Lonchura striata: one gene and its partners. Each later gene encodes a partner of the first gene's protein in a complex. Links are inferred from orthologs where the notes say so. Each region holds a gene or a part of one and is shown in the gene's direction. Other genes may lie near its edges.

The links.
Region 2: CHCHD6 (region 1) and MICOS13 share a complex: the UniProt entries of both Homo sapiens proteins name them as parts of the mitochondrial contact site and cristae organizing system (MICOS) complex. The link is inferred for Lonchura striata from reciprocal best matches to the Homo sapiens genes CHCHD6 and MICOS13.
Region 3: CHCHD6 (region 1) and APOO share a complex: the UniProt entries of both Homo sapiens proteins name them as parts of the mitochondrial contact site and cristae organizing system (MICOS) complex. The link is inferred for Lonchura striata from reciprocal best matches to the Homo sapiens genes CHCHD6 and APOO.

What each region holds. Positions count from the first base shown.
Region 1 is NC_134614.1:13,514,274-13,518,018, forward strand, and holds the start of CHCHD6 (MICOS complex subunit MIC25), read left to right. Parts: upstream 1-1,063; 5' UTR 1,064-1,160; coding exon 1,161-1,250; intron 1,251-2,841; coding exon 2,842-2,971; intron 2,972-3,745. UniProt on the Homo sapiens protein: Component of the MICOS complex, a large protein complex of the mitochondrial inner membrane that plays crucial roles in the maintenance of crista junctions, inner membrane architecture, and formation of contact sites to the outer membrane.
Region 2 is NC_134630.1:4,053,760-4,057,504, reverse strand, and holds the start of MICOS13 (MICOS complex subunit MIC13), read left to right. Parts: upstream 1-793; 5' UTR 794-858; coding exon 859-887; intron 888-2,040; coding exon 2,041-2,197; intron 2,198-2,945; coding exon 2,946-2,997; intron 2,998-3,425; coding exon 3,426-3,523; 3' UTR 3,524-3,745. UniProt on the Homo sapiens protein: Component of the MICOS complex, a large protein complex of the mitochondrial inner membrane that plays crucial roles in the maintenance of crista junctions, inner membrane architecture, and formation of contact sites to the outer membrane.
Region 3 is NC_134604.1:103,816,582-103,820,326, reverse strand, and holds the start of APOO (MICOS complex subunit MIC26), read left to right. Parts: upstream 1-1,545; 5' UTR 1,546-1,585; coding exon 1,586-1,594; intron 1,595-3,745. UniProt on the Homo sapiens protein: Component of the MICOS complex, a large protein complex of the mitochondrial inner membrane that plays crucial roles in the maintenance of crista junctions, inner membrane architecture, and formation of contact sites to the outer membrane.

The sequences.
Region 1 (3,745 bases):
GGAGCTTCAGGCGCCCCTGTGCTCTTGCCTGGCTGGTGAGGGTGTTCCTGGGGTGCAGGCAGCTCACACTGCACAATGCAGTGCCCTTGTCTTGAGAGCTTGAGCAATGGGCTGACTCCAGCATACAAGGTGCTGCACAATTAACAAAAATATTCCCTACTTCCAGGAATGTGCTCTAGAAGAGACCTGGATATCCAGAGGGGTTTAGGGGGTGCAGACTCACAGATACTCCCTGAACATTGGCCCATGTCCGACTGAGGCAAAGCTCTGGTTGCCACATTAACCGCAGTGAGCAATAAGCATTAAACACTTAAAACTGCTCCCATGCACTACTGAGGAGTAGTGGGCCGAGTAGATAAGTAGCACATTGATACCAACTGGCCCATATTTCTGGGAATGCAGAAAGCTTGTTTGAAAAAGATTCTCCAAAGCTGTTATTTCTTGGTTCAGCTGCCTCTGTGTTGCATTATCTCATTCCTTCTGTTCTGGCTGTTGGCTCAGCCATGCCTGGCAACGGGGACTGTATCAGCCTGGCCTGAGCTGTGCAGGACCCGCCCGTGTGTGTCAGGGCAGGGGACGGCCCCGCTGGCTGGAGCAGAGCTGCTGCAAGGTGAATTCCGCTCCCAGCGCAGCTGCTGTGCCTGACGAGAGGTCATCCTTCCTCAGCTTGGCAAAGCGCCGTGCCTTGGACGTGTAGCAGCGGAAGATGTGCGGGCAGTTTTGGTGCCGCGTTCACTGCCAGGGCGGCGTGGAGGGCGAGCTCAGCGGGACAGGAGCGGCGAGGAGGGCGGGCTCAGCGGGACAGGAGCGGTCATGAGGGCGGGCTCAGCGGGACAGGAGCGGTCATGAGGGCGGGCTCAGCGGGACAGGAGCGGTCATGAGGGCGGGCTCAGCGGGACAGGAGCGGCGCTCTCCGCTGCCCCGGAGCCGCCTCTCTGCCCTGCGCATCCCCGGCACCGGGCGGGCCGCCCGCTCGCGGAAAAAACTACATCCCCCAGCGTGCACCGCGCCCGGCCGCTAGCACCGCGCCGCGCTATTGGCCGCCCCGCGGCCGCCGCCAATGGGGAGCGGGTATATTGGCAGGCGCTGCCAGGGCAGAGGCGCTGCTGGCAGCCGGTGCGGGAGAGGGGCGCGGCGAGGACGGGGCGACCCCGGGCGGCATGGGCGGCAGCGAGAGCAGCCAGAGCGGCAGGAGCGTGTCCTTCGGGCTGGATGAGCGGGAGCGCGTCCGGGTGCTGCAGGGCATCCGGGTGAGGCGCCCGGGGGTGTCGTGGGGCCGGGGGCGGAGGGAGCCGGGCTGCGCAGGGCTCCGGCCGGGCGGTGGGGGGAGCGAGGTGGAGCGCTGGAAGATGTGGGGGAGCAGGGACGAAGGGAGTGGAACCGGGAAGGCTGAAGGAGTGGGGGGTTGGAGAAGTGATGGGGAGAGTGGTGAGAAAGAGGGCTGGGGGCCTGGGCATGGCTGCTGTCGAGCTGGGGCACGCCAGCTCTTTATTTTCACTTCCAAGCTCTGCTCTCAGCCCTCGTTCCCTCCTCGCTGCTCGGTGACCTCGTTTGTGCCGCGCAAGCAGCGTGATGCTCCCAGCAGGAGACAGCTCTGCCCTTGCTCACGGTGCCCGGGCAGAGCACCGCTGTGTGAGCAGGGCGAGGCGAGAGCCTGCACACAGGGATGCTCCGGGAGGGACAGCGGGGAACTGCTTCTTCACCTTCGGTCGGAGACTGACAAGTGTGTGTTGTGGAAATAAGCCCTAGAGAGTGGTGGTGCTACCGTTAAGGAATAGTTTTTCCCGTTTATATATATATATATTTTTTTTTTTTTTTACATGTTAGTTTTGGGCTTTTTTTTTTATTACTACTATAATTTTCATTGCTCTTGCTTCATGATCCTTTTATATGATTTCTCCCTAAAATCTGCCAGAAATGAACTTTCAGAGTGTTGTTGTGGCTGCTTATTTTTCATCCCATTTTGACTAATTATTTGACAAAAGTTAGCTAAGATTGTGCCTATCTTGTTTGTAAATACTTGTTAAAGTATTTAATGGAGGTAAAATTGTCTTTGCCTATTTTATCTTTACAGGATATAGACAAGGATTTGTGTCTTTAAAATTAGGAATTGGGCATGATAATAATGTAAATTGATGGTACAAAAAATGCTATTAAGTTGGGTAGTAGTGGTATAGCTGAAAATATGTCTTCTACTGTGGCAAGCTAGGTGGGGAACAGCCTCATTTGGTTTTGTTCTGCAGCCAGACCCTCTGACCTTGGCAGGAGGAAGGGGTAAATTTTAACAGTGCTGTGAGAAGCCTTTTGGACTGAATTGCCAGAAAACTTTAAGTTAACTTTTCTTTCTTTTTCATGGGTTTGAACCCAAGTCAGGGGGTGAAAATGAAGTTGAGGTTGCAAAAGTGTTTGTAGCCTTATGTGGGTGGGAGGCTGTTGTCTGTCATGTGGGTTGCAGCATGGCTGCCATGCTGAGCTGGGTTAGCAAACATGGAGCAAGAAGAGGAAAAGATGGATTAAAACCTGCTTAATTCCTTTCCTTCCAATTCTGGTAAATTTTTCCCTATACAAGGAATTGACTTGTTTAGGGATGGTCTCCACCTTTGTTGGTGTTTGTGAATGATTGTCTAGTGAAGCTTTTAGGGTCAGGCAGTAGATTGGAGACTTTGTCACTTACTGATAGGGTATGGCTTTTAAAAATGTAAAGTCAACATGCAAGTGCTGACTGCGTGGACTGGAGGGAAATTGCAGTGAGGAAACTGAGAGCGCTTCTGTGCTATCATGGGAAGTAACAAACGGGGAGGCCTGCAGTGAAAAGCTGACTTGGCTGGTTCTGTGTTTCAGCTCACTGAAGATGTAGTGAACCGGATGAAAGGATCCTCTCAAAGTAGAAGGGACAACCAGAGATCTCCCCGTGCATCCAATGGCACAGCTCCATCCTCACTGGCTGCAGAAGGGAAACCCAGACCTACAGGTACTGCCTGTCACAGAGGGTGCTGGTGGTTTTCAGTGCTGCCCCGTTGTGAGAGGAGCTCTTTGGTTAGTCTGTATCACTCTGTGAGCATTTTTAGCATTTCAGATCAACGTGCAGTAAACAAGGCAGAAATATTTTGCTTTTAATTTCTGGCAAGCTGCCTTGTTGTCTGCTGTGCATATTGTGTATATTGTGCATGGGTGAGGGAAGTACTGCTTTTTATTCTATGGAAAGAAGCTCATAGGGAAAGATAACCTGTCTAAGCACAGCTGGCTGAGTGGATGATGACAACGTGGTTTGTGAACTTTGAACTTTAAACTTGGTTTGTGAAGTCTTTCTTTACATGTCAGAAAACAATTTGATTTCTATTGGTTCTCAAATAGACTTTGGTGATGTATATCAGCAGTGTGGATTTGTTTAAGGCATCCAGACAAAAATGACATTAGGGTTTGCTTTTAGGGTTTTGTTTGCTGTCAGCCTATGTCTTTTCTGAATGTATATCTAGCTTTATGGATGGCCTGAACTGCCAATTTCATCTTCACTTGTGGAATCCCTTTTAATTACAAGGAGAGAAGGAGGTCAAGAGGAAGACTTACTGGAACTAGAGGAAGGAAATGGAAAATAGGTCTACAATCATGCTCAGTGTATATACATTTCAGTATATATAAGGATTTCAGGAGTTAATATCCTCACATAGAAGTTTTCTGTAGCATGGTTTATTCAGTGTGCCTGTTTGAAAATGATGCTGTTGGTGTGTCTGTTTCATAAAATCAA
Region 2 (3,745 bases), on another chromosome or scaffold:
CCCTGCCCGGCCCCCTCACACCCCTCAAGTCTTGCCCGTCCCCTCACGCCCTCAGCCCTGCCCGGCCCCTCACACCCCACACGCCCCTCAGCCCTGCCCGTCCCCTCACTCCCCTCACGCCCCTCAGCCCTGCCCGTCCCCTCACTCCCCTCTCGCCCTCAGCCCTGCCCGTCCCCTCACTCCCCTCACGCCCCTCAGCCCTGCCCGTCCCCTCCCGCCCTCAGCCCTGCCCGTCCCCTCACGCCCCTCAGCCCTGCCCGGCCCCTCACACCCCTCAAGTCTTGCCCGTCCCCTCACGCCCTCAGCCCTGCCCGGCCCCTCACACCCCACACGCCCCTCACGCCCCTCACACCCCTCAAGTCCTGCCCGTCCCCTCACGCCCCTCACGCCCTTAGTCCTGCCACTCCCCTCTCGCCCTCAGCCCTGCCGTCCCCTCACTCCCCTCTCGCCCTCAGCCCTGCCCGTCCCCTCACGCCCCTCACTCCCCTCCCGCCCCTCAGCCCTGCCCGTCCCCTCACGCCCCTCACAACCTCAGCCCTGCCCGTCCCCTCACGCCCTCACGCCCTGCCCGTCCCCTCACGCCCCTCACTCCCCTCACGCCCCTCAGCCCTGCCCGTCCCCTCACGCCCTCAGCCCTGCCCGTCCCCTCACTCCCCTCACGCCCCTCAGCCCTGCCCGTCCCCTCACGCCCCTCACAACCTCAGCCCTGCCCGTCCCCTCACGCCCTCAGCCCTGCCCGTCCCCTCACTCCCCTCACTCCCCTCACGCCCTCAGCCCTGCCCGTCCCCTCACGCCCCTGACGCCGGCGGCGCGGGCGGGGCCGCGCGCGCACGTGACGGTCCCGGTGCCGCCGCCGCCATGGCCGCCCGCCTGCTGCCCGTTGTCAAGTGAGTCCCGCGGGCCCTGCCCACCCTCCCGGCCCGGCCCGGCCCGGCCCGGCTCGGCTCGGCCCCCCCGCACCCTCCGCACGGCGTTCCCCCCGTGCTCCCCGCGCCTCAGTGCTCACCGCTGTCCCCGGCCCGTCCCCAGGCCCGCGGCCGGCCCTGTCCGTGGCTCTGCTGGCTTCGCTGCACGCCCTTGGCCTCGCCTGCCCCCGCAGCTCCCCGTGTGTGTTCGTACACGCCGGGAGGGCCCTGCAGCTCCCTGTGGGCGGACATGGACGCGTAACAAAACCCGGGAGTAGCGCGGGGCTCGGAGCTGCTCGTACACCCACAGGAAGTGCGGAAGGGTATCCTTGGGAGCCAACAGTGCCTTTTAGCAGAAAGATCGCTTTTCCCCGAAATGCGTGTGAATACACGACTTTAAAAATTGGTTCGCTCTTGTCAGCTCTATTGTATCTGTCCTACTACTGCAGTACCGCTGTCTGCCAAGTTTTGGGTTGTACAATAACTTTGGCTGTTTTTTTTAAAGGGAAAACATTCCTCTGTGTATCTGAGAAAGTCACTTACCTCCGATCTCTTATTTAGAATGGAAATGCCAATAAATGCCAAATACTCTCTTCCCGTCTTCCCTTTTGTAGGTTGCCATCACAGCAGTAAAACTGGTAACTGCACATCATGCAGGAAACTTTAAAAGCCTTGGCAATGCAAACACCATGGCCAGGTGTTCACTGAGCATAATAAGATCTTGGTATCTGTCAGATTTATTAGATAAATATCAGATTTATCAAGAAGAACCACATTATTAACATGGATGGCTCGCCCACTGCAGAATTCTTTAATTGCTTTCAGCAGAGGAATATGCCAGTGATTCTCAGGCTTTAAAAAGTGGCACATGTTCTTGAGGAACTTGACACTTTCTTATTTTTATATTGAAAACCAACACTGATAAAATGTGAATTAGAAGTAGTTTCAAGGGGCTGACAGGCAGTAGTTGTCCTGGGAAGGCAAGGAACATAGGTAGGTATTTTTCTGCTGATTTTTACCTCCAGTAAGACATGAGATTTCTTTCCTGATACCCTCTTTGGCAGTCACAACCACTGAAAGAGATGCACTGATGGTCAGAACATGAACTGAACTGTTCTGCTTCCAATTCTTTCAGGTTTCTGATCAAAGGAGGCCTGGCTGGAGCTGCTGTGTACGTAGCACATGACCAGGGGCTGCTGGGCAGTGGCATAGAAGGTGCTGAAGCACTCAGAAAAGCTCAAGAAACGCTGCCTCCAACTATCCAAGAGTGGACAGATTACCTGGGCTGGGAGGTAAGGGCTGCTCGGGTGATCCCTGCAACACAAACATCTCTGAATCAGGAAGAGAAAATATAGGGGTGATATTCTGATTCTGGTGAGCCTGGTAGGAGTTTTACTGCTGAAACTGGATTTCACATTGCAAATATTTTGAAGAGGATTGAAATGGAAGGCAAATAAAATGCTAAATTTGGGGCAGAGACATTGCTCACAGATGTTATTTCAAAGGAGAGGGGTAAGCAGCCTATGCAGGGTCAAGGGGGGGAATTGCAAACATGCTCTGGGAGGTATTTCACTATGTAGTTTTCTTCTGAAGGATCCTACTTGTTTTTAAGAAAAACAATGAAAATATTATCCTCCCATTTTTTCACATTGCTAACAATTCAAGTTGAATTTAAATTGCTTGAAGAGGCCCCTCCTCTATGAGTAGCTCTTAGTTTTTAAAATCCTCAGAAAATAAGAAACCTTTGCTTAAAGTTTGAAAAGATTCTTCATATTACAAACAATTATAAACTAACAGAGACACCCAAGTAGATGATTTTTCAGGAGCACCTAAATAACATGTTCTATCTTTTGCACCTACTTTATATTGCAGGAAAGAGCAAAGCCCAGACTTTAAGCATCATGTCTGGTCACTTTTGAGGCTTATGGAGAGTAGGCACACAAGTATTTTTGAGATCTGAGGTCAAGAGGTTTTGCCAAGGTGATGTGAATTCCAAGTGAAACCCCTCAAGTGCTGATATTTTCTCTCTCTTTTTCCTAGCTCCCACCCACTCCAAAAATTGACTTTTCCCTCTCTGCTTACTGGAATAAAGGTAAAATAACTGCTCACTACCTGATTCTGAGCTCAGTCTTTGGCTTTTCAGAAAGGATGAGCATTCCCATTGCTATTATAATTTTAGGCATTTTTGCTTGAATGCCAAAGCCTGTTATAAATACCTAGTAATACACAGGTTTTATGGTGTAGCAAAGAATCTTTATGTAATTGTGGGGAAACACAATCCACAAATGACTGTGACATGTCCAGAACTGTAACTGTGGCAAGGCCAGAAATAAAACAGGACTTAAACAAAGAACTGAGCTCAGTCCTGTAATTGTCTTAGCTCATGTACAGACCCTGAAGTTGGAATTTCTGTGTCACAAATGCTCAGGGTTTAAAGAGATTTACAGTGGTGGTGTTGGAAATCGGGAAATTTGGCTTGAATGATGATCTTGGGGTAATTCTTCTCTGCTTTGCTTGCAGGGGTGCACAGAGTCATGTCTGCCTTGTCTGTAGCTCCCACCAGGGCCTGTGAATACACAGTGGAAGGCTGGAAATACGTGAAGGATCTTGTGAAATGAACAGGATTCTCAGTCCACCGCTCTGGAGGGCAGCTTGGCTGTGTAAGGGCTACAATAAAAGACTTTGGTGGAACTTCCATTTGTATTTGGGTTGGTTTTAGCCTGCAGAGTGGAATAATTGCTTTGTCTTAGCACTGATCCAAGGCTCCAGGAATCACAGATAGTTGTGATGAAGTGATGGCCATGTGCTGAGAACAGCTGTTCTAAAACTTAGAAATGAAA
Region 3 (3,745 bases), on another chromosome or scaffold:
TGTGAAGAGAATTAACTCTACCCCAAACTAAATCATGCTCACCGATGTGAATTATTCTGGCAGTGAGCCAGGAGGACACTGATGTGGCAAGTGTATTTCTCTCCCTCTCAGGATTTTTCATAGAGGTGCACAGAGAGCAGTTAGAGAGAAACCAATTTCTGCTCTTTGTTTTCCTGTGTGGAATGTGTTTGGAGAATTGTTTACCTGAAGTGAGTGCTTGATTGGATTCTGGCGAGGATTGTTTGAGCCTGATGTCCGATCAATCCACCTGTGTCTGCACTCTAAAGAGAGGGTTAGGAGTTGTGAGAATTAAGAGAAGGTAGTATATAGTTTTAGTATCTTCCTTTATCTAGTATGTTAACGTATTTTAGCATAGTTATAATAAAGAAATCATTCAGCCTTCTGAATTGAGTCAGACATCGTCACTTCTTCCGATTGGGTTGGCCGGCATTTGCAATGCAGGGGAGCCGGTGAAGGGCGTGGGGAGTCCTGCGGGGAGCGGCTGAGGGAGCGGTGTGTGTCCGGCCGGCTGAGGGGGCCCCGGCACTGCCCGCTCCAGCGCGGCTCTGCGGCCGGCGGCAGGACGAGGACACAGACCTGAGCCGCGCCGGAGAGCCTTTAGTGGGACTCAGCAAGAATTTCTTCACAGAAAGGGTGAGCAGACATTGGAATGGACTGCTGGCGGAGTCACCGACCCTGGAGAGGTTTAAGGAAAGGCTGGACGTGGCGCTCAGTGCCATTAGCTTTTCTCAAGAAACTGCGTTTCTTGAAGACGTCCGGGGATGGTGACTCCACCAGCCTGGTGGTGCCGTGGTCTAGCTGACGTGGGTTTGGTAACAGGCTGGATTCGACGCTCTCAGAGGTCTTTTCCAACCTCATTGATTCCTGTGACTGATTCTGTGAACGGCCGAGCCTTCCTCACAAAGGTTGCAGGGCAGCACAGGGAGCCGTGCGGCGGGGCTGAGGATCAGCGTGCAAGCGCTTTGCTCCCACAGGAGCCGTGCGGCGGGGCTGAGGATCAGCGTGCAAGCGCTTTGCTCCCACAGGAGCTGGGCCGTGCAAGCGCTTGGCTCCCACAGGAGCCGTGCAGCCCAGCGTGTAAGCGCTTTGCTCCCACAGGAGCTGGGCCGTGTAAGCGCTTTGCCCCCACAGGAGCCGTGCAGCCCAGCGTGTAAGCGCTTTGCTCCCACAGGAGCTGGGCCGTGTAAGCGCTTTGCTCCCACAGGAGCTGGGCCGTGTAAGCGCTTTGCTCCCACAGGAGCCGTGCCGCGGGGCTGAGGATCACCGTGCAAGCGCTTTGCTCCCACAGGAGCTGGGCCGTGCAAGCGCTTTGCCCCCACAGGAGCCGTGCAGCCCAGCATGTAAGCGCTTTGCTCCCACAGGAGCTGGGCCGTGTAAGCGCTTGGCTCCCACAGGAGCCGTGCCGCGGGGCTGAGGATCAGCGTGCAAGCGCTTTGCTCCCACAGGAGCCCGCCAAGGCCGGAGCCCCTCCGCCGCCCGGGCGGCGGCGGCAGCGCGCGGGGCCGCCCCGTGACGTCACGCCGCGGTGACGCCGTCGCCCCGTCGCCGCGCGCCCGGCGCCGCCATGTTCAAGGTGAGGAGGGGTCCCCGGCCGGGCCCGCCGCCGGCCGCGCTCGGGGCTCCGCGCTCCGCCCGCGCCCTCTGCCTCTCTCCTCTCCGCCGCTCTCACTGCCGCTGTCCTCGCAGCTGCTTAGCCGCTCCTCTTAGCGCTTCGGAACCGCGTGCCCTCGCGTTGCACGGAGAGGGGCACACTCCCGATTTACAGCCGCTGCCGGGTGCCCCCCGCGCAGATTCGTCCCTTCCGTACGGGGCTGCCCGCACCGCGGGGCTCTGTCACCGCTCGGTTCGGGCCCGGGCAGCTGTCGCTTGAAAGCGTCGGTTCGATCTTGAAAAGTTTCCTTTTAGTGCCTGAAGGTTGCCAGCGAAACCTGCGGAAAGCCCCGTCCGGCTCTGGCTGTCTCAGAGATTTCTGCCTGTGGTTAGAGCAGCCCCAGATCCCATCAGGCTAAAAGCAACTCTGTGCCAGTCAGATCGTTGTTAGGCTGCTTGCTTAAAAAAAACACCAAACCACCAAAACCTGGTGATGCTCGCTTCTTGGTATTCATTTTCCTTGGTACCATTTTCTGTGTGAAATATTGATAATATATCTAGATACCAGTATACCGAGGATACTAAATAGTAATATATAACATCTCAACATGAGGAAGAACTTCTTTATGTTGAGGGTGGCAGAGCACTGGAACAGCTGCCCAGGTCGTGGAGTCTCTCTGGAGGCATCCAAAGCCCACCTACCAGCACATGTTCCTGTGTCACCTGCTCCAGGTGACCCTGCCTTGGCAGGGGGTTGCGCTAGATGATCTCCAGAGGTCCCTTCCAACCCTGACAATTCCGGAGTCTGTGATACTGATGTGCTGAGCCCTTGCTTGCTCTGCTCTTGTCATAAATTCCTTTTTCTTTATGTCCTTTAATGCTGGAATTCTGTGCACAGAATCATTGAGGATTCCATAATTGATGCTGAATTGTCATTGGAGGGTTGATATGTGAGCCTGTGCATTTAGGCACTATCTGTATTAGTGTATTAGTACTTTTACATAGCCAGTGAGGATTTATGTCCTTCAGGCCAACCTGATGTTATGCCTCTAAGAGCCAAAGGGAAGGTAGCTTTTTGTCCAGGATACTTTTGCTTCAGGGACAGGAATGTTCAAGAATTTGGATTTTGGTTTGATGTTTTTATGGTTTGGGCTGAGAAATAGGAGGAAGAATAGAAAAAGATGAGGAAAACTGTTTTCATACTTTAGGACCAGTATCAGCCTTCTCAAAAGTATGCTCAAGCTTTTCCTATCAAGTCCTAAAGATAAAATTGAATTCTTAGCTAGAGAGGAGTAAATGTATCTTTTTTGCTTAAAATAACTGCAGAGCATTGCCAATAGAAAAGAATGTCAGCTCTGCTTTTCTGATACTGAGTGGCTATAGGACTGGCAGGCTGAAGGCACAGCTCAATCAGTCCAAATGTTTTACTAAAGCAATTGTTTTGGTAATATATGGTTAGTATGGAAATCAAAAATGAGATCCTACAGGGCATTTTGGAAACAAGTACAGCAGCTGATCTTTCATACTCCCAAGTAGTTCTGTGTATGCAAATATGCAGTATTTCAGCAGTAGTTCTGCCTGTCCCATGAGGTAGCTGATGTAGGAGACCATTGAAGTATGATTTGAACAGCACATTTAAGAAGAGATTCAACTTGCACTTTCAGAGGTTAGTTTCATTTTGTTAAAAATTAAAAACAATGGAAAATGTCTGCACTTCAGTATCTTGATAATATAAACAGTTAACTTTTCAGTCTGAGTAGTCCTATGTCACTGATACTGTTTTGTGAAACCCAGGTGCTTCCAGTCTTGTGCTGTGCTATTTGTGTCTTTATATAAAAATCTCAAATATCTAAAACATTTGGTTTTACTGTTTATACTTGTGACACTTAGCACCATTTACACTGTTTGAAAACATATTACAAAGAGAAAATGCATTTAGATTTTTGCCTTTTCAGTGACATAACAGTTTTGCAGTGAAAAAATGAAAGATTGAGGAAATAAACTCTACGGCTATTAATGGTTAGTAGTGTTTGTTTTTGTCCTGGCTAACAGAAGTATGTGAAAAGTGTTTAAGGAAACACTATTAAAGATTATCCTTGTCTTTCCTTGGCTTTGAAACAGCTGATCCAGTCAT